Linked DNA regions of Arabidopsis thaliana. The protein of the gene in region 2 binds, or shares a complex with, the protein of the main gene of each other region. Each region holds a gene or a part of one and is shown on either strand. Other genes may lie near its edges.

Region 1 (6,518 bases), on a different chromosome or scaffold from region 2:
TGGTGGCCAGGATACTAATCAGCTGGGGTCACCAGTCCGTTCTGGAAGTGTTCGGTCTTTGACAGACACGTTTTGTACCAATTCTGATGGCTTTACAATGTCTATGTCCTTTTCAGGTTCCCGTTCGTTCAATCATAATCCAAGCTGTTCGCTGAGTCACAATATTGGAGACAATGAGCAGTCAGTTCATAGCCGACCTATATTTCAGGGTATAGATTGGCAGGCACTGTCTCATAATGATTCAAAGTACAATGAGAATACAGTCTATCAAAGACTGATGGAAAATGGAAATGGTTCAGTTCAACCTCGAGCAATGAAAGGCAATTTAATTTCGGGTCAAGCTGATGAAGAGCATCTTAGATTGCCCGATGGGAGCTCTAAGGCAGCAAATATACTTGAGAAACAATTGAGTTTCCAGAAAAGTGTTGATGTTAGATCAGCATGTCCAAGAACGGGCTCTCTTGAAAATGGTTCAAAGTTTACTGTTGAGAAGAAAACGGCCAAGGACTTTTACAGTGGTAGTAATTCGTGGATAACTGGGCTGGAAGCCGGTGGGCATGATTTTGTTGAGACCGTCATCAGATACATTCTCTCCGATTCGATGCCTGTAATGACCAAGAGATTTCATGAAATGCCCACTCGAAACATCACTAGCCTGAAGGAAAACATTCGGCAGATGATGCTGAACATGGATAAGAATGTACAACTTGGTGCTTTTCAAGATGCTTTGCAGAACAGGACTGATATAACACTGGAATTGCTTACAAAATCTCATCGCGCTCAGTTGGAGATCTTGGTCGCACTGAAATCTGGGCGTTCTGATTTCCTTCTTTTGGACAACAGCATCTCGTCTTCCCATTTAGCTGAGATTTTCATGAACATGAGATGCAAAAATCTTTCTTGTAGGGTTCTGTTGCCTGTGGACGAATGCGATTGCAGGGTTTGTTCAAGGAAGGATGGATTTTGTAGTGCTTGCATGTGTCTTGTGTGCTCAAATTTTGATATGGCATCCAACACCTGTAGCTGGGTTGGGTGTGATGTGTGCCTACACTGGTGCCACACAGATTGTGGGATAAAAGAGTCTTACATCCGGAATGGGATCAATGCTTCTGGTGCTCCAGGAATGACCGAGATGCAATTTCACTGTGTTGCCTGTAACCATCCCTCAGAGATGTTTGGCTTTGTCAAAGAAGTGTTTCTGAATTTTGCAAGGGAATGGAAATTTGAGCGCTTTTGCAAGGAACTGGAGTATGTCAATAAAATATTTTCATCAAGCAAAGACTCTAGAGGGAAACAGCTGAGACAAGCTGCTGATGCGATGCTGGCAAGTTTGAAAAGTAAATTGATAGGCCTTCCTGAAGCTTGCAATCGCATATTGGGTTTCATTTCAGGTGCGCGAAATTGTATAAATTGTGAGCTTTATCTGGGTATCAAATATGGCTTTATTAGTCTGTTTTAGTATAGATGATCACACAGTGAACACATGTTGGTTAAATTCTTGTGATATATGTGCCATAGATATTCCTTGTAACAATCTGTCGATACTTTGCCTGTTGATTGCAGACTGTGATTCCTCCACTCCTGCTGAAACTAGTGCACCGTTCATATACGAACAGCCAAAACCCAGGCATGAGAGGGGAAGCCCTAGTCAGGACACGGCGTGGCTGAGATCGGTGTGCTCAGATAACCCGCATAATCAGCTGAAAAGGTCAGCGAGCGTAGCTGATGCATTCCACAGAGAGAGGCAAGTTGAAATATGTGCAGTGGAGATGGAGTTGGAAAGGGGTTCACCAAAGGAACCTCGTTTCGAAGAGCTAGAGAGCATTGTGAGAATGAAGCAAGCAGAGGCAGAAATGTTCCAAGGGCGGGCCGATGATGCACGAAGAGAAGCAGAGGGACTGAAACGAATAGCAATAGCGAAGAAGGAGAAGATAGAAGAAGAGTACAATCGGAGAATGGGGAAGTTGAGTATGGAGGATGCACAGGAGAGAAGGAGGAGGAGGTACGAGGAGTTAGAGGCAATGCAGAGAGGGCAGAGAGAGTTTTATGAAATGAAGATGAGAATGGAGGAAGAGATGAGAGGGCTTCTCACCAAAATGGAAATGACGAAGCAGAGTCTGGCCTTGTAATATTTGTAGTAGTAAATCACATGTAATGTACACAGAAACCTCCTCCTCGTATGTAACCTAAAGATCAATGTAAGGTCTTTTCTTTTAGAGAGTACTAAAGAGTTCTGCGTCCTGACATGTACAGCCCCTTGCCAAATTTTAATAGGCAATAGTAAATAAATAACGACAAGAAGCAAATGGCCATCAAAGTGATACAAAGCAGTGAGGCGTGAAAAGATTACTAACAGACTAGACTTGGTGTTTCTCTTCTCTGTCTACACTGGCATTGCCCGTCTCCCAAAAGGACCCCATTTACAAATGGCGTTGTCGATTAGTTCGCAGTGGGAGGCTTGAAGTCTATCATCTCTCTTATGTTCAACTTGATGGAAGGCCCCATTGACGAGCATATGTGAGCGCTTTTCCAGTACACTCCTTTAGCTCCCTTTGGCTTGTTTGTCTCCACCGATTTCTGCATTTCATCATTTACTTTTCCCTCTTCATTTTTTTTTGTATTTTAAACCACAGAAATACGTAATAAGAATGGAGAATTAGCCTACCACTGCTGCAAGGAAGTTTATGAGAAGGTCTTCCTCTGTAAAATTAACTTTCCCAAATGGAATGTGAACAATCCCAGTTTTGTCTGCTCTGAATTCAACTTTCCCCTTCTTGAACTCTTCAATAGCCTGAGAGATTTATGCATCTTTAAGCCATGACTACCAGAATCAGGAAAAGATGTTGCAGAGTAGGCTTACCTGGGGAATGTTCGCTGTGACTGTACCAGCCTTGGGATTTGGCATGAGCCCCCGTGGTCCAAGAATCTTTCCCAGGCCAGCAACCTAAGCGCCAAGTTCAAGAATGTTAGAAAATAGATCACGAGTTACAAGTATCTCATGCCACCTTATTTGCCAAGCATGACGGTTTCATATGCTGTAACAAGTAGAACATTATATCATCAACACATACCTTGACCATCATATCCGGGGATGCAATCAGCTTGTCAAACTCCATGAAGCCTCCTTTAATCTGTTCGATTAAATCATCACTGCCCACAATATCTGCCCCTGCACTTTTGGCTTCATCAACCTTCTCACCTGGAAGTTCAGCATGGAAATGGTGCAAGCCAAAGATTTAGAAAGAATAAGCCACATGATACACAAGAACTCCATCCAATCAATATATAAATAAAAAGTCAATCGCACCAAACAATGTTGCATCTAGAGAAGTACTGACTGACTGACTGATACCGTAAACATTATCTCTGTCCTAAGTCCTAACAGTGAATTTGGTGACTGAAATGGTAAAGCATAATCTCTGTCCTAAGTCCTAGCAGTGAATTTGGTGGGGCAATATACCTTGTGCAAGAACAGCGACTATAACAGTCTGGCCAGTTCCCTTAGGCAGGCTCACCTATACAAAAAGACAATGCATTGAGATTAAAAAATGTTGTGGAATGAAGCAGCACAAGATAGAGTGTATATCCAGCAAAAGGCAAAGCAGACCGTTGCACGCAGCTGCTGGTCATTGTACTTAGGATCGATGTTGAGACGGAAATGGGCTTCAACAGACTCAACAAACCTTGTGTTGGCAGTTTGTTTAAGCAAAGAGATAGCAGTGTTGACATCATACTCCTTTTTGGTTTCCCTTAGCTTTTGGATTTCCAAAAACCTCTTAGACCTTGTCTGTCAATGGGTAAGCAAACAAAGTGATGATTCACGAGTAAAGGAAGCGAAATTGAAGTAGGTAAAGCACATACTCTATCTCTCTTGAGAACCAAAGCGGCTTTTCCTTTCTTAGGCTTGGGCGGATCAAGGACGGCGGTGGCGGTCTGCTCCAGGTCCTCCTCCGTGTCGAGGTCAGCCTCAGCGGCCACGGCGGAGACAATAAACTTGTGGTTGGAAGCTCTGTCAATAGCAGCACATCTCCGGTCCCTGGAACCCCCAAGGAGAAGAAGCGGGAAGCTCAAGTGGTTGGGTCTGGAGCTGGCAAAAGAGAAAAGAGATGGAGTAGGGGTAAGGTCCTGGGAACGAGTGGATGCGGCGGCGTATGCTAGCATGAGAGAGGAGTGAGTAGCGCAAGCAGCCATTGTTGGAGCTCTCTTTCTTTCTGGGTACAAAGAAGAAGAAGAAGAGTGCGAGTCTCCCTAATCCACTCCACGCCCAAGGGGATAACAACACCCCCTATTCTTTCTAAGCTATTATTCTCTGCGTGGCGGGCACCTTAGCTACCGTGTTCCTAGTGACACGTGTCTTCTTATGGACCATTAGATCTTTTAACAACCCACACGCGTATCCTCGTGACCTCTTCTCCTTCTCCTTCTTCTTCTTCCTTCTCTTTTCTCAAAAATCAGATTTCGAGTTTCTTCTTTCCCGCCCGTAAGAGAAACCCTACTCTGACTCTCCACTCCATTTGAGAGGTAAGTTCCGATTCCTTTTCTCTCAGCTTCAAATTTCCTGTGCTACTATTTCCCCAATTTCATTCATCTTCTGCTGACTCATTTTGGGTGTTTCACTGTAGACTGAGCTCGTTCCGATAAGGAGAGGAGATGTCTAACGTAACCGTCTGTGCGCGATTCAGGCCGCGAAGCTCTAAAGAGATGCGCGATCCCAGCAGAGATGGTGTCTGTGCTCGACCCATCGACGCTGAAACCTTCGTTTTCCAAGTTTGTCTACTCGACGCCGTGTGCTTGATTAATATTGTCTCTCTCTCTCTGTCTCTCAAACTCTATCTAGCGTTTTTACTTGCGTGTAGGATGACAAGGAAGATGAATTTACATTTAGCCTCGATAGAGTTTTTTATGAGGACTCTACCCAAGCTGCGGTTTATGAGTTTCTGGCTCTCCCCATCATGAGAGGTACTAATTGATTCCTTGATCTTCTCTTCTGGATTTTAGATCTAAACATTTGAGCACCAATCTTATGATTTTACAATGTAATCAACATTTTTGGTTTTGGTTTCCTCCTACCTTTGTCTTTTGCATCTTTTACCTTTGTACTACTACTACTACTTTCAGACGCTGTAAATGGTATAAACGGAACAATCATCACTTATGGACAGGTTTGTTCTTCTCCTGATCTCTTTTATCTGGAAATGCTTTCAATGTCTTTTTCTTAATTTGGCAGATTTTGATCTCAATTTGATCGTTTCATGTTATACTATGCAGACAGGGGCTGGGAAGACTTATTCCATGGAGGTCACCTAACTCATCTTGATACCTCTTCCTGTAGCACAAGGACCATTCCTTCTTCTGGCTCATTTTGGTTTTCTTCGATTGATTCAGGGACCAGGCATCCAGGACTGTGATGAGCACAATAAAGGACTTCTTCCAAGAGTGGTCCATGGGATGTTTGAGCAAATCAGCTCTTCCAATGATATTGCAAGATACACTGTTAAATTGTCTATGGTACTGACTTAAATGCACTTGCTATAAGTCTCCTTTCAAGCTCTCCTGTATAGACATCTTACGTGTCTTTTGTCTCCTCTAGGTTGAGATCTACATGGAGAAAGTCAGGTATTGTGTATGTAATTCCCTCTGATTTCTTCTAGGGTATATAGCTTATCGATAAATTCATATATCTCTCAGGGACCTGTTGGACTTATCAAAAGCAAACATACAGATCAAGGAGAACAAAACACAAGGAATACTCTTGTCAGGCGTTACAGAGGCTAGCTTCATTGTCTTATATCTTCTATTTGCTAGTGTTGAGAAAAATCTTTACTGGGTAGGCAAGTTTTAATCATTCGTTGCTTCAGGTGCCTGTATCAGATTCGGTGGAGGCATTACAACATCTATGCGTAAGATAGCAGCTACCCTAAGTTTCTTAATTGCCTTATACGGCCTTCTTCTTTCTTATTTCTGATGCCAATTGCCATTTCAGACCGGTTTAGCTAACCGCGCAGTTGGGGAAACCCGTATCCTCTTAGCTTTTACAGCACTTACTTGTTCAATGTTTCCCCATTTAGTCGATAGTGAGATTATGATTATGCTACTCCGAGTTGACTGAAAGGTTAAAACTGATTGAGAGTCATCTTGAAGAATGTTTCCAGTTTAACAATGAATGACAGAAATGAATATGTCCAGCAGTAGAAGCCACTGCGCCTACTTGTTCACAATCCAGCAGGATTCAGTTAAAGATAAAAGGTAACGATTTTTTACAATTAATCAGAAAAAAGTGATGCTGTAGTGGTGGAGCTTATATACATATCTGGCATGTGAACAGGGTAAAAACAGGAAAACTGATTCTTGTCGACCTGGCTGGCTCAGAGAAAGCAGACAAAACTGGAGCAGAAGGTAGGGTTCTTGAAGAAGCGAAGACGATCAATAAATCGCTCTCAGCCTTGGGGAACGTGATAAACGCTCTCACTAGTGGGCCATCTAGCAAAGGGAATCACATACCATATCGTGACTCCAAG
Region 2 (6,183 bases):
CAAACGCTCGACTAACGAGGTTCAGGCCAAAGCTTACTAGATGTTGCAGTGGTATTACAGTGTGCTGTGATAATCAGACAGGAGATATAACCAAAGGTTTAGAGTTTTTTTTTCTTAATCCATCCTTGATTCATTAGATTAGTGTCAAAAGGCAAAAATAACAAACCTGAAATATGATCAAACCAATGAGAACAGGCTGTGTATCAAATCCGAAACTCCTGAAGAGATCAGTGGAGTTTCTGACAAGAGTGTATCCTCCAAATTGTAAGAAGGCAAGGATCTGCAAGCAAAACATTGAGAGAGGGTCATAAGACATGATTTCTTAAGTGAAATGTAGATGTGAGTAAGTTTTTGAACTGTCGGTTGAGCCTCACTTGAACTGCAATGAACGAGTATGTAGTGTGATTCAGTTTCCAATGTCCAAGCTCGTGTGCAATAACCGCCACAATTTCATCCTCATTCTTGCACTGCACAATAGAAGATTATGTTATGTTTCAGAACCAGAAACAGAAATGTGAGTATAGCTCGTTTGAAGCATCAAGAGTCACAGTACCTGCTGAATCAACGTATCATAAAGAACAATCCTTTTGTTCTTAAAGAAACCATACATGTAAGCCTGTATGATGTAACAAGATACGTAAGCTTCTAATGGTAAACTAGAGTAAAGTAGGTAGGAAGAGATCTCAAGCTTCTCACATTGCTATGGCTTGACCTTGTAGATCCATCGACAACAAACAGCTTCTTCAAAGGAAACTTTAGAGAAGAAGCAAGTTTCTCAATCTTCTCCCGGAGGTCTCCATCTGGAAGCTATAGCCATAAAAAAGCGGGAGATTATATTGTCTGGTAACAACATATGCAAACAAGCAGTGAATTGTAAAATGGCCATGACAGAAATACACACAGGAGTGAACTTGTTGAAGAGCGGTGCTATCAAGACCGGGTATATAGTCATCATCACTAGAGACAGGATAAACATGAATGCCCACAGATAGATGGCAAGATAAGGACCTCCTTTCTGGAAAAAGATAGAAACTTCATGCTCAGAGAAGCAAATTTTAAATTTTTAACACGAAAACTAAAAACTTTGAAGCTCACACTCAATGGAGAATAGTCATCCATGTGAAAAACTCAGAAATAAGATGAATCCAGAATCATCAAACCTGGACTATGAAAATTATCGCAGCAACAATGGGTGGGCCTAGTATGACAGAGAGGAATGTTCCTTTGATCATGTCCCTAATGAACATCCATATTGTTTGCTGTCAACAGAATTTAGAAGCAAATTTAATCCACATCTCTGATAAAAAAACGTAAGTCACAAGGTAGTGTTGGAAATACGACATACTTTGTTGAACCCATGCCGAGACTCGATCACGAAAGTTGAGTACAAAGAAAATGGCAAATCAGTGATCTGCATCAGAATATAAAAGAAATATTATTATCTTAAGAAAATAGATATTTTGATGCTAAACGTATAGGACTATATGAAGGGGTTTATTTGGAACACCTGTGACCATGTCATAACACCAGCCAAGAATGAAAGAGTATGCAGTATTTCATTCTCTGGATCAAGGCCCAACCTCGGTAAAACAGCTCCAGACATCTAAGGTAAAAATGAAAACTTTACAATTGTAATGTAACAACTCTATATTCAAAATGAGATACTGTATACCGAAACCAGATATGTACCTTCCAAAACCAAGGCAAGATCCCAAAGAACAAAATTGCAGAGTCCATAAGTATAGTTACAAACTCATGAACAAAGTGAAAATAGCTGCATATATTAAAGTTCTCAGTGATGATATCCCCTGGCAATTATAAAAAACTAAAATGATATAAATATGATCAAGACGAAACCTTTTGTCAAGACTGTATGCTCGTGATTTCTCAAACTTCTCTTGGCTAATTACACCAACCAAGGTTTTCGGGAGAGTTGGAAGCTTGAGAGCAGTGAGTTGCCTCAGATCCAAATACGTCTCAAAAATGTACATCACTATCATAAAACCTGTAAGAAAAAGAATAAAACAGAAGATGAAATACGAATCTACTCTAAATGCCACAACAACAGATACTCCATCACTGAAAATTCAATAACATCATCTACTTTTTTGATCAACCAGATATAAAAAGATCTCTTGTGCTGACTACTGATGGAAACATTGGAGCACTGAAAGAGTTTTGATGCAACATTCACATACGGTTCCACAACACAAAACCCATTTCAAAAAACTCCAGAAAACTCTAGTTGCAGTCACGAACATAATAATACCCTGACAAGAAAACCCAAAACCTCAAGCTGTATGACTTGAACAAAGAAAAATTTCAAGATTCTCAATTTCCAATCGGGAATGAGGAAAAAAAAGACTCCGACTTTTCTTCCCAAATCCTAGATTTTGGTTAACAGAGAAGCTCCGTACATTCTAAAACCGAGGAAGAGATGATGAAATCACATAAGCTCAAATCAAATCAAACGCACGAGTAAGACAAGAAACTAGTAGGAGTAATAAAACCTCAGATCAAGGTACGCACTATTAGAAAAGAACAAAATTTAGAAACGAGAAGCAGAGACGATGGTATATGAAACAAACGAGTCATGGAATCTCAACACACACAACACAGAAAGCAAAACCCAAACAAAAACGAAATACGATGAGTGAAACAGGATAGTAAAATGTCTCAGAAAAAGGTTTTGAAGCTTACCCACGACGGTTTCCATGAAAGGAATCGCCATGGCTGAGAAAAGAGTGACCTGAACCGCGATGAAAGCAGAAGCAAATCGAAGAAAGCAGAAGCAAATCGAAGAAAGCAGAGGAACGACAAAAGAGAGGTTTTTCGTTTTTGACTCTTCTCAGGTCGGTGTGGATATGTAAAACAACAAAAACACGGGTACGGGTTATACCTTAGAAGCCCAAATAGTAAACGGGCTGAGATTTAGGCCCATATGAAACAACCCCTATATTTTATCTAAAATCTCTAAGTATAATAGTATATTATCAAATATTGGGGCCTTAGTTGAAATATTATGTTTTAAAGGGGCTAAACGGAAAACTCCTTATCCTCAAACTGTCAACAAATTACGAAGGTGCCATTGGGTTTAATCAACAACGAACGCCGAGAGCTCTCACTTCACACTTTATCCACTTGGAGCTTCGACAATGGCGTCTCCTTCGCTTCTGCAGTCTTCCGCTTCTTCGTTTCACGGACGTTTCTCACCATTAGCGGCTCCATCCTCCGCACGAATGCTCTCTCCGCCGCTCAGAAACGTGGTGAAAGTCTCGGCGTCTGGAACTGTACTGGTCGAGAAATCTGAAGCCGAGAAAACTCAACGCCTCAAAACCGCTTACCTCGAGAGGATTATCCCTGCGCTCAAAGAAGAGTTCAAGTACGTTAATATTCACCAGGTAACCCCAAATCCTTCCCCTCTGAGCTCAAACCTAGTTTTTGTTCTGTTGCGATTGATTGAAGTCTAATTCTCAGTGAATTCGAATTTTTTGAGCGAATGTTAAACCTAATTTGCTTTTAATGATAAGTTTGAATTGATTTCTTCTAGAAAATGTAGTGAAGAAGCCTAGATTTAAGATTGTTGTGTTGATAAAATCGTGCTGTTGGGATGTGCCATTTACAAATGTGAATGTGAATTTGTCAATCTCATCATTGTTGTATATCTGCTTGGACATCTTCTCTACCAGGTTCCAAAGGTACAGAAGATTGTAGTGAATTGTGGTATTGGAGATGCGGCGCAGAACGACAAGGGTTTGGAGGCTGCGATGAAGGATATCGCGCTTATCACAGGGCAGAAACCTATTAAGACACGAGCTAGAGCTTCCATTGCTACTTTCAAGATCAGGGAAGATCAACCTCTTGGGATTGCTGTCACTCTCAGAGGAGATGTGAGCTATATTTCTCTTGACTAATCAAACTTTCCTTTTGAGTTATTTATGTATTAACATTTTGTGATTTTGACTGTTGTGACAGGTAATGTACTCCTTCTTGGATCGTCTTATCAACTTAGCCCTTCCGAGAACTCGAGATTTCCAAGGTGTGAGTCCCAGTAGCTTTGATGGGAACGGAAACTACAGTATTGGTGTGAAAGACCAAGGTGTATTCCCTGAAATCAGGTTAGTTCTATTGTATCTACCCTCAAAATCAAAACTACTAACTTGTTATCCGCTGGTTCAACAAGATCAAGCATGGTTTCTCTTTAGTCCCACTCTTTGTTTACAACCGAGCAACTAAACTCTATGTTGGTTGGTTGGTTTATTACACTCTAGGTTTGATGCCGTTGGAAAAACGAGAGGAATGGATGTATGCATCAGCACAACGGCTAAAAGCGATCAAGAAGGACAGAAACTATTGGCTCTAATGGGAATGCCTTTCAGGGAAGGAGGTGGTGGCAGCACAGGCGCGATAGTGCGGAAGAAGAAACTAAAGTCTCATCACTTTGATGCTAAAGGAAAAGGAAAGAGATGATGAACATAGCTGCCTATTGTATGTATCGTCTTCTGTAACCAACCATTTCATGTTTCAGAAAAACCATCTCCTTTTGTAATGCTTTATGAGTCAATTTGAAAATAATATCAGGGATCTTGTTGTTATGGTAAAAATTTATCAAGGTTTTTCTGTAATTTATTGAAAGTTTTGTGGATTATACAAAATGTAGCGCGTGAGTGAACGTGAAAAGCTAGCGCGTGGATTTGTCAATTTTACCTTCCCCTTTGAGAGAAATCGCTCTTCTTTGTAAGACTTGGTTTCGATCTTCTCTTTTTCATCATCAATCGATCAAAACAAACAGCAACAGCAAAATTATCTTTCTGCAGATCGAAACCCTAATTGGTTTCTCCGTTCTCCTTTTGTTCTTCTAGAATCGGCGACTCTTACTTTTTTTTCTTTCTAATTATCCTTTTCTGATGGATTCTGGAATCCATGTAATTCCCCATTAGCGCTAAAAACCCTAGCTGTCGAAGACCTTAGATTACTGCAGAAATGTTATAATCTGTTTTCATCTTTTCCCGATTTGAGGTTTTTATTTATTTTGGTTGGGTGAGAGAATCCGATACGAGAGATTAAAGCCTTGTGAGTTTAGGATGAGCTAGTTTTCTTTGGCTTTGAGCTGTAATTTCTCTTCTCTGAAATCTTTCACTGTACATATAGCTAGATCCTGATGAAGTTGCGTGGTGGTGAATCGTGGTTTAAGTTTTGCTAGTTGAGATATTATTGGTGGTTACTGTAATATCGAAGAATCATATTTCACGGTATTTACTATAGACAACTACTGTAGAGTTACTTGATTAAGGCGTTAAGAAGAGATACTGGTGTTTTTTGGCCTCAATCAGCTAAGATTTTTGTGCATTGTATGATGAGTATAGCAAATGAACAACAATTTGCCATGGATCAACTTGTCGAAACCAATGATGATTCGGAAAAGTATGTTTTTTCTGTTTTTTGTAAAATCCATGTCTCTGTTTTGCTGCTTATTGTACATTTCTCAGCTGCAGTTGCAATTGTTTTCAGGAAACCAAGAATTACATACACGAGGAAGTTTCTTATATCCTTGAGCGAGAAAGACGTTTGCAAGAAGCTGCCAAATCTGCCTGGTGAATTTGATGAAGCACTGTTGCTGTGAGACTCTATCCGATAGTTTTTTTTTTAGTTTGGATTTCTAGAAACTGTGTAAATGTGTTTGATCATGTTGGAGTGACATGTCTTGATTTGTACACTCTTTATTTGAGTAGTGACTTCGAAGATCCTTCACCCGAGCGAGCAAGAATTTCAGGCGATTTTTCGTCGCATGGTTTCAGGCGGAATGACTATAGTTCATCGCCTCCCACCAGGGGGGAATTAGGTACTAACTCTCGAGGCACCCATGGAAGATGGGAAGGGCGCTCTGGTGGATGGAATGATAAAGATAGTGATTCACAGTCAGACCGGGACTCAGGTAGCCGGAGCTTACTCGTATCCTATTCTTTACATGCTGTATGATGACGTTACTACAGTAACAAGGTGGACTAGTATTCTGAATAGTTACCTTGTTGTTATATATGACCTATAAAATACTCCTACGAATTATGTCTTTCTGCAAAAAAGTGTTCATTATTATGATTTCAACTCTATCCATCTGGCTGTTCAATATGCGTAAATGTAGATTTCCACCTTTTTTTAACTAAAGTGAATGGCATGAAGTCT
Region 3 (5,440 bases), on a different chromosome or scaffold from region 2:
CACGCCATGGAATTCGAACGGCTTCTCCATTTTTTGGTTTTTACGCGCTCTGTTTTTGTTTGTCTTTGTTTCCGTGAAATTGAAAACAGAGACAGTATAAATGCTTGGTTTGATGATTAATACTACAGGTTTTGAGAAATTGATTACGATGGAGATTTGGATTATTCTGGGAAAATGAAACGGGAAAGTGATATTTTCCGGGAAAATTGAATCGGGAAAGTGAAGCGATTTTGTTAAATGAGAGAAAATATTTTATTGTAAGAAGGAGATACACTGACACTGATACGGAAATACGATCGCAGGACTAGTCTTTTTATATATCCTCAATAAGTTAAAATTTAATGACTCTTTTTTGACAATTTAATTTTATACTATGGTTTTGCTTTTTGGACACCCAACCAATGATAATAGTACAAACATATAGTAATGGTTCTTTTGGTTTTCTTTAGTATTCAAAATTTAGAAAAGAACCTAGAGAATACTTTGTTTGTTTTGTCTCTCTTCCTATGAAAACAATGATTAGTTTGTTTACTAATTGCCATCCATAACTAATTAATTGTGGTATCGAAACAATATTTTCACTATATAGAAACTTGCACGAAGATAAAGTGACTGATCCACTTAAAGATACTGAATTTGCTATAGAATATACTGAACATATTTCAACTTACTATAATTTAACGATGCCAGATATAACGCAATATTCGACTTCATATTTGAGGATAAAGTTGATTATATTACATGGATATGGATTTATCTAAACTAGTCCATGAGAAGCCCACTAATCTTTTTAAGAATACACGTGAAAGTCACGCGCCGTCAAAGTAAAAGAATAACAGACTTATCCACACATTAACGAGGTTCGTGGATCCCGAACAAAAGAATAACAGGAAAATGGTCGAGAACCACGTGAAAATAAGATGAGTCATGTGCCCTAACAGGACTTTTTACACAATACACATAGTATAGGGGGGTATATATGCAAATATTTTAATTAAGTTAATAGCTTAATTCATAATTATTATAAAATTGAGGGAGCTATTAGTGTTTACTGCAGACAAAGGCTGATTTGGAAAGATCAACAGAGTCAGATAACTGTCCCCGAACAAACAAACATACGAAGTGCATTATTTTCGACAAATGAACGCAACGAACATTTAAATTGTATTTGTCCCAGCAAAATTAAAATTTATTTAATCCAACACATTGTATTTATTCCAACATAATTAACAAACTAATTAGATATGGTTAGACATATAGTTTAACTAACCCAACACAGCGTCTTTCATCAATCTTATGCTAGGAAACAGGAGACCATTAGTTTATCTTAAAACACCTTCTTTTTGTGTGTCTAAAGTCTTTAAGATAATATTTTAAGACTCAATTTTAGTCAAGATCGCAAATCATTGATAAGAAAGGATCTAAGACTTCAACCAACGAATGAATTTAGTTTAACTCAATTATTCAGATTCAACTGCATCGATCAGCATATGAAGTATGTAGAGATGTCAAAACCCAATTTACTAACGGATTAAAAAGCCCACAGGTTTTCCTTTTGAACTTCAGTGAAAACTTTGGTAGCTTAGTTAAGAAGCAGAAGACTCCAGCTGAGAGGAAATGGGCCTAAAATAGCCCACACATTCGACTGTCTTCAAATGGGCTTGAGACGGCCTGATATTGGTTTGGCTTGATATTGGTAAAACCTCTGATTGAGCTGGAGTATTCTGTTTCTGTTCAATATTGGTCACACAAATTCAGTAGTAGTATACAATTGGGCATGATCACAGAATCTTCAACTTCAAGTGCCAAAAATTTTCTTTTATGTTCTCAAGCAAAACATACTCCTACGCCATGGCCACAGTTCAAGAATCTGCTCACTATTAGTACGCCACTTCGTCGTCAGAAGACAAATGTTTTGCCTGATAACTTCAGCAGACACTTACATAGACCATGATCATCATGTTCAACATCTTATAAATCTATGTAAAAATGATCTCAATCAACTAATCAACACACCACTTACACATCAACAACAACTACCTACACTAGTCATTAATCTCATGCCATAACTTTCCAAGATTATCACAAAATGTGGCAAAAGCCACAACCTTTCTTTCATTTGCAATTACCATTTCATAGGCATTGTTGCTATGTTTCTCTCACCAGTGTATATCTATCTATTATCCATCACAAATTCATGCCAAACTCACAAGCTAAAGATTTGTCCTTGAGATTCGCTACTACTTGTATCATTGCTCTGAGATCCTAGTCTCACTCTCAATGAAACCAAATAGATCTTAAAGAAAGCATAACCAATAGCATTCAGAAGAAAATTCACATACAATTTTTAACAGCCTAAGCAGTATCTCGACTTCAATTGAAAAGACAACAAATTCAAAGACATAAGCTTTACCAGAAAAGACTCATCATTTCTTCTTCCCTTTGGGACCTTTACTTTTCTTAGTAGGCATAATGATTTCTCCTTTAAGCACAGGAATCTCCATAATCTCAGAAAGCCCAGCGAACCTCTTACGAAACTTCTCAACTTGATCAGCATCAACCATCAAAGCCGAACGATTCCCGAGGTAAAACGGATGGTTACCTGACCATACATCAACCACATACTCTTTCTTTGTTCCTCCTGTAGTCATCACCAGCTCTCCATTGCAGTAAACCTTTGCGTCTTCGTGGAATTCAGGATGCAATTCCTTCTTACGACACGTTATCTGAACCACCGTATTGCTGCTTCTTCTCACCGATTGTTTTCCTCCTTTCACTGCCGCCATCACCGGCTAATTTTGAAAAAAAAACACAAACAAATTTAGTGATTTTGGGGAAGGAGGAGAAATAGACGAAGAATGAGAAATCGATTTCGAGCTTACCTTTCTTAATTGCAGAGAAGGAACACATGGGCTAATCTGAAGAAACGAGTTCGGGAGAGAAACCGCCATTTTTGTCTTCAGGAGCTATCTTCTTCTTTTTTCCTGGTGATAGAGAAGAAACGAAGTAACGATTGATGGATAAGAGAATGAGGATGATGAAGTGTATTGGAGTTACGTTTATAACCCTAAATACTTTGAAGATATGTAAGGGTAATATGGTAATTTACATAGAGACTTCCTTTTGTTCTGTTGATACACTCTTCGTCAATCTAACGCTTCTTCATTTTTCTCGAGAGAAGCAAAACTACATATATATATACGCACATACGTACACAGTTCGAAGGTTTTAGCTGCGAGTATGAGGAAGGAACTGTGTAGAAACTTTCAGCGTGGCAGGTAAATACTCTTTTCATCATCATCATCTTCTTCTTCATCTGTTCTAGTTTTTGTTTTGATTCAATTTGTTGTTTTATAAGAGTTTTTGAAGTTTGTTTCGATTGCTGAAGTTTAGGTTTCGTGTTCTATATTCTGGGGTTTAATTTGAAATCAATCGATGTGCGAAGGTGGTAATGTGTTAGAAAACGATGTCTATTGAGCTGAAATCTAAATGAATCATACAGTTTATTGACTTTGATAGATTCTAATCTTCGTTTCCGCCATTAATGAGGGTTGATTTGCTTCGGAAGTTATGATTAGTGATAGTAGAAGCTTAGAGACGTAATTATTGGACTCATCGTCCTTTGTGCTGTTTTTGCAGTTGTAGGTATGGGGAAAACTGTAGATTTCTTCATCCACAACAAGCTAAGCCAAATAATCCCTTTGGCTTTGGTACACAAAACCAACAACAACAACAGCAGCAGCAGCAACAAAATAGTTCGAACCCTTTTGGATTTGGTGTACAAAGTGGTGGTTCCAGCAGACCGAATCAGTTCCAGGTCAATTTGTTTTTTTCCTCTTTTAAGATGCAAGTATTGCTTTGATAGAATGCAAGTTATCGTTCGGCTTTGGATGAGAAAAATGGTGCATCTTCTTTAAGAAACGAAAGCATTTTGCCTGTTGAATGAATGGTGACATGATGATGCTTTTGCAAATCAGAATACTTGGTCACGAACGGCTTCTACACCTACTGGTGGTGGTGCTGCTGCTTCTACACAGCAGACTGGTAAACAGACGCAGCCGGCAGATCATAAGTGAGTGTATATATGTTTACATATGCTTGTTCTATCAATTATCATCCTTTTAGCCGTTTGTTTCTTTGGAAATTTACTGTTTCTCTCTTGGTTACTATACAAAGATGCACAGATCCTGCTGCGTGTAAGCGGGTAATGCAAGACGATTTTAAGAATGAGAGACCCATGTGGAAGCTCACATGCTACGGCCACTGGAAATAGTATGTATTACTTCATTTGGTTTAGCATCCTTGATCTTTATCCATTCTTTATAAACGTGTCTGATTTTTTCTATCTTTTTTTTCTTCTAGTTTTCCATGTGATGTTACCGGTGATATCAGCTATGAAGAACTACGTGCAGTGGCATATGAAGAAGCTAAACGAGGAATACCTCTACAGTCGATTGTGAGATTAACCTTTCTTGTGTTTGTTATACTTTACACTGGTTTTCATTTCATACTGATAAGACATAAGTTGATTTCCTCTTTTCCTGGCTTATTATGGTGCATTATATAGGTTGAAAGGGAGAGGAATCTGCAAAATTCCAAAATAGCCGAGTTTGAAAACTTTCTACGGAATCCATACAAAGGCTCTGTTACCGCCAATCAAAGCCCGTTTGCTGCAACCACTCCTAGTATCTTCCCTCAGTCCAGTCAGATCAATTCCCCTTCTCCAGCATTCTCTGGCTTTAATCAACAAACTGCATTCTCCAATACCAATGCGGGTGGACTCAGGTATCAACTTTTGTGGGATTTCTCCAATTTTCATATCCCAAAAAGTTTGTGTTGCCTTCAAACTAACTCTCGGTTTCCATTTTTCCTCGACATAGTTCATCTGGACCTCCGAATGCCTTTGCAAGCTTCAATCAACAAACTACATTCCCCAATACCAATGCTGGTGGAGTCAGGTACTAACTTTCTCCATATTCCATATTCAAACAAGTTTGTGTTACCTTTATAACCTCTTGGTTCCCATATTTCTCTTTGGCCAACTATTCCTCTGCATAGTTCATCTGGACCTCCGAACCCCTTTGCAAGCTTTACTCAACAATCAAATAATCAACAAACTGCATTCTCCAATACCAACGCTGGTGGTCTCAGGTATCAACTTTTGTGGGCTTTCTCCATTTTCCAAATTCCGTAAAGGGGTGCCTTCATGAAAACTCTGTTTCCATATTTCTCTCTGGCCAATGATTCCTCTACATAGTTCATCTGGACCTCCGAATGCCTTTGCAAGCTTTAATAAACAACCAAATGCTTTCAGCGTCAACACTCCTCAACCTGTTCCTTCAGGTACTACTTCTAATGTTAAACTTTGCTTAAAGGCCAAGAGACTCGCCATCATCTGAAACCTCTTTTGCAAATGATCACAGGTCCCTCTGGTTTCCAA

What was found. Proteins that work in one complex are often made in the same cells at the same time.
Region 1: AT4G01310 (region 2) and EMB3126 share a complex: the UniProt entries of both Arabidopsis thaliana proteins name them as parts of the 50S ribosomal subunit.
Region 3: AT4G01310 (region 2) and emb2184 share a complex: the UniProt entries of both Arabidopsis thaliana proteins name them as parts of the 50S ribosomal subunit.

Annotation. Positions count from the first base shown.
Region 1 is NC_003074.8:23,441,942-23,448,459, reverse strand, and holds EMB3126 (Ribosomal protein L1p/L10e family), read right to left. Parts: upstream 4,258-6,518; 5' UTR 4,192-4,257; coding exon 3,862-4,191; intron 3,788-3,861; coding exon 3,608-3,787; intron 3,516-3,607; coding exon 3,461-3,515; exon of another isoform or gene 3,200-3,460; coding exon 3,072-3,199; intron 2,945-3,071; coding exon 2,861-2,944; intron 2,792-2,860; coding exon 2,666-2,791; intron 2,578-2,665; coding exon 2,440-2,577; 3' UTR 2,130-2,439; downstream 1-2,129. Other genes in the region: TTA2 (fibronectin type III domain protein (DUF1423)), read left to right, coding at 1-1,391, 1,564-2,129; AT3G63480 (ATP binding microtubule motor family protein), read left to right, coding at 4,651-4,767, 4,857-4,959, 5,119-5,162, 5,269-5,298, 5,386-5,508, 5,591-5,616, 5,689-5,782, 5,859-5,900 and 3 more. UniProt on the Arabidopsis thaliana protein: This protein binds directly to 23S ribosomal RNA.
Region 2 is NC_003075.7:542,453-548,635, reverse strand, and holds AT4G01310 (Ribosomal L5P family protein), read left to right. Parts: upstream 1-3,069; 5' UTR 3,070-3,155; coding exon 3,156-3,401; intron 3,402-3,689; coding exon 3,690-3,890; intron 3,891-3,975; coding exon 3,976-4,118; intron 4,119-4,271; coding exon 4,272-4,470; 3' UTR 4,471-4,725; downstream 4,726-6,183. Other genes in the region: ATSTE24 (Peptidase family M48 family protein), read right to left, coding at 1-64, 167-280, 375-467, 554-616, 697-807, 902-1,015, 1,161-1,259, 1,346-1,411 and 4 more; AT4G01290 (chorismate synthase), read left to right, coding at 5,354-5,424, 5,512-5,619, 5,733-5,935. UniProt on the Arabidopsis thaliana protein: Binds 5S rRNA, forms part of the central protuberance of the 50S subunit.
Region 3 is NC_003070.9:28,269,674-28,275,113, reverse strand, and holds emb2184 (Ribosomal protein L31), read right to left. Parts: upstream 3,044-5,440; 5' UTR 2,952-3,043; coding exon 2,883-2,951; intron 2,793-2,882; coding exon 2,427-2,792; 3' UTR 2,105-2,426; downstream 1-2,104. Other genes in the region: AT1G75360 (uncharacterized protein), read right to left, coding at 1-30; AT1G75340 (Zinc finger C-x8-C-x5-C-x3-H type family protein), read left to right, coding at 3,241-3,278, 3,640-3,817, 3,978-4,072, 4,177-4,272, 4,363-4,456, 4,568-4,785, 4,881-4,958, 5,059-5,151 and 2 more. UniProt on the Arabidopsis thaliana protein: Binds the 23S rRNA.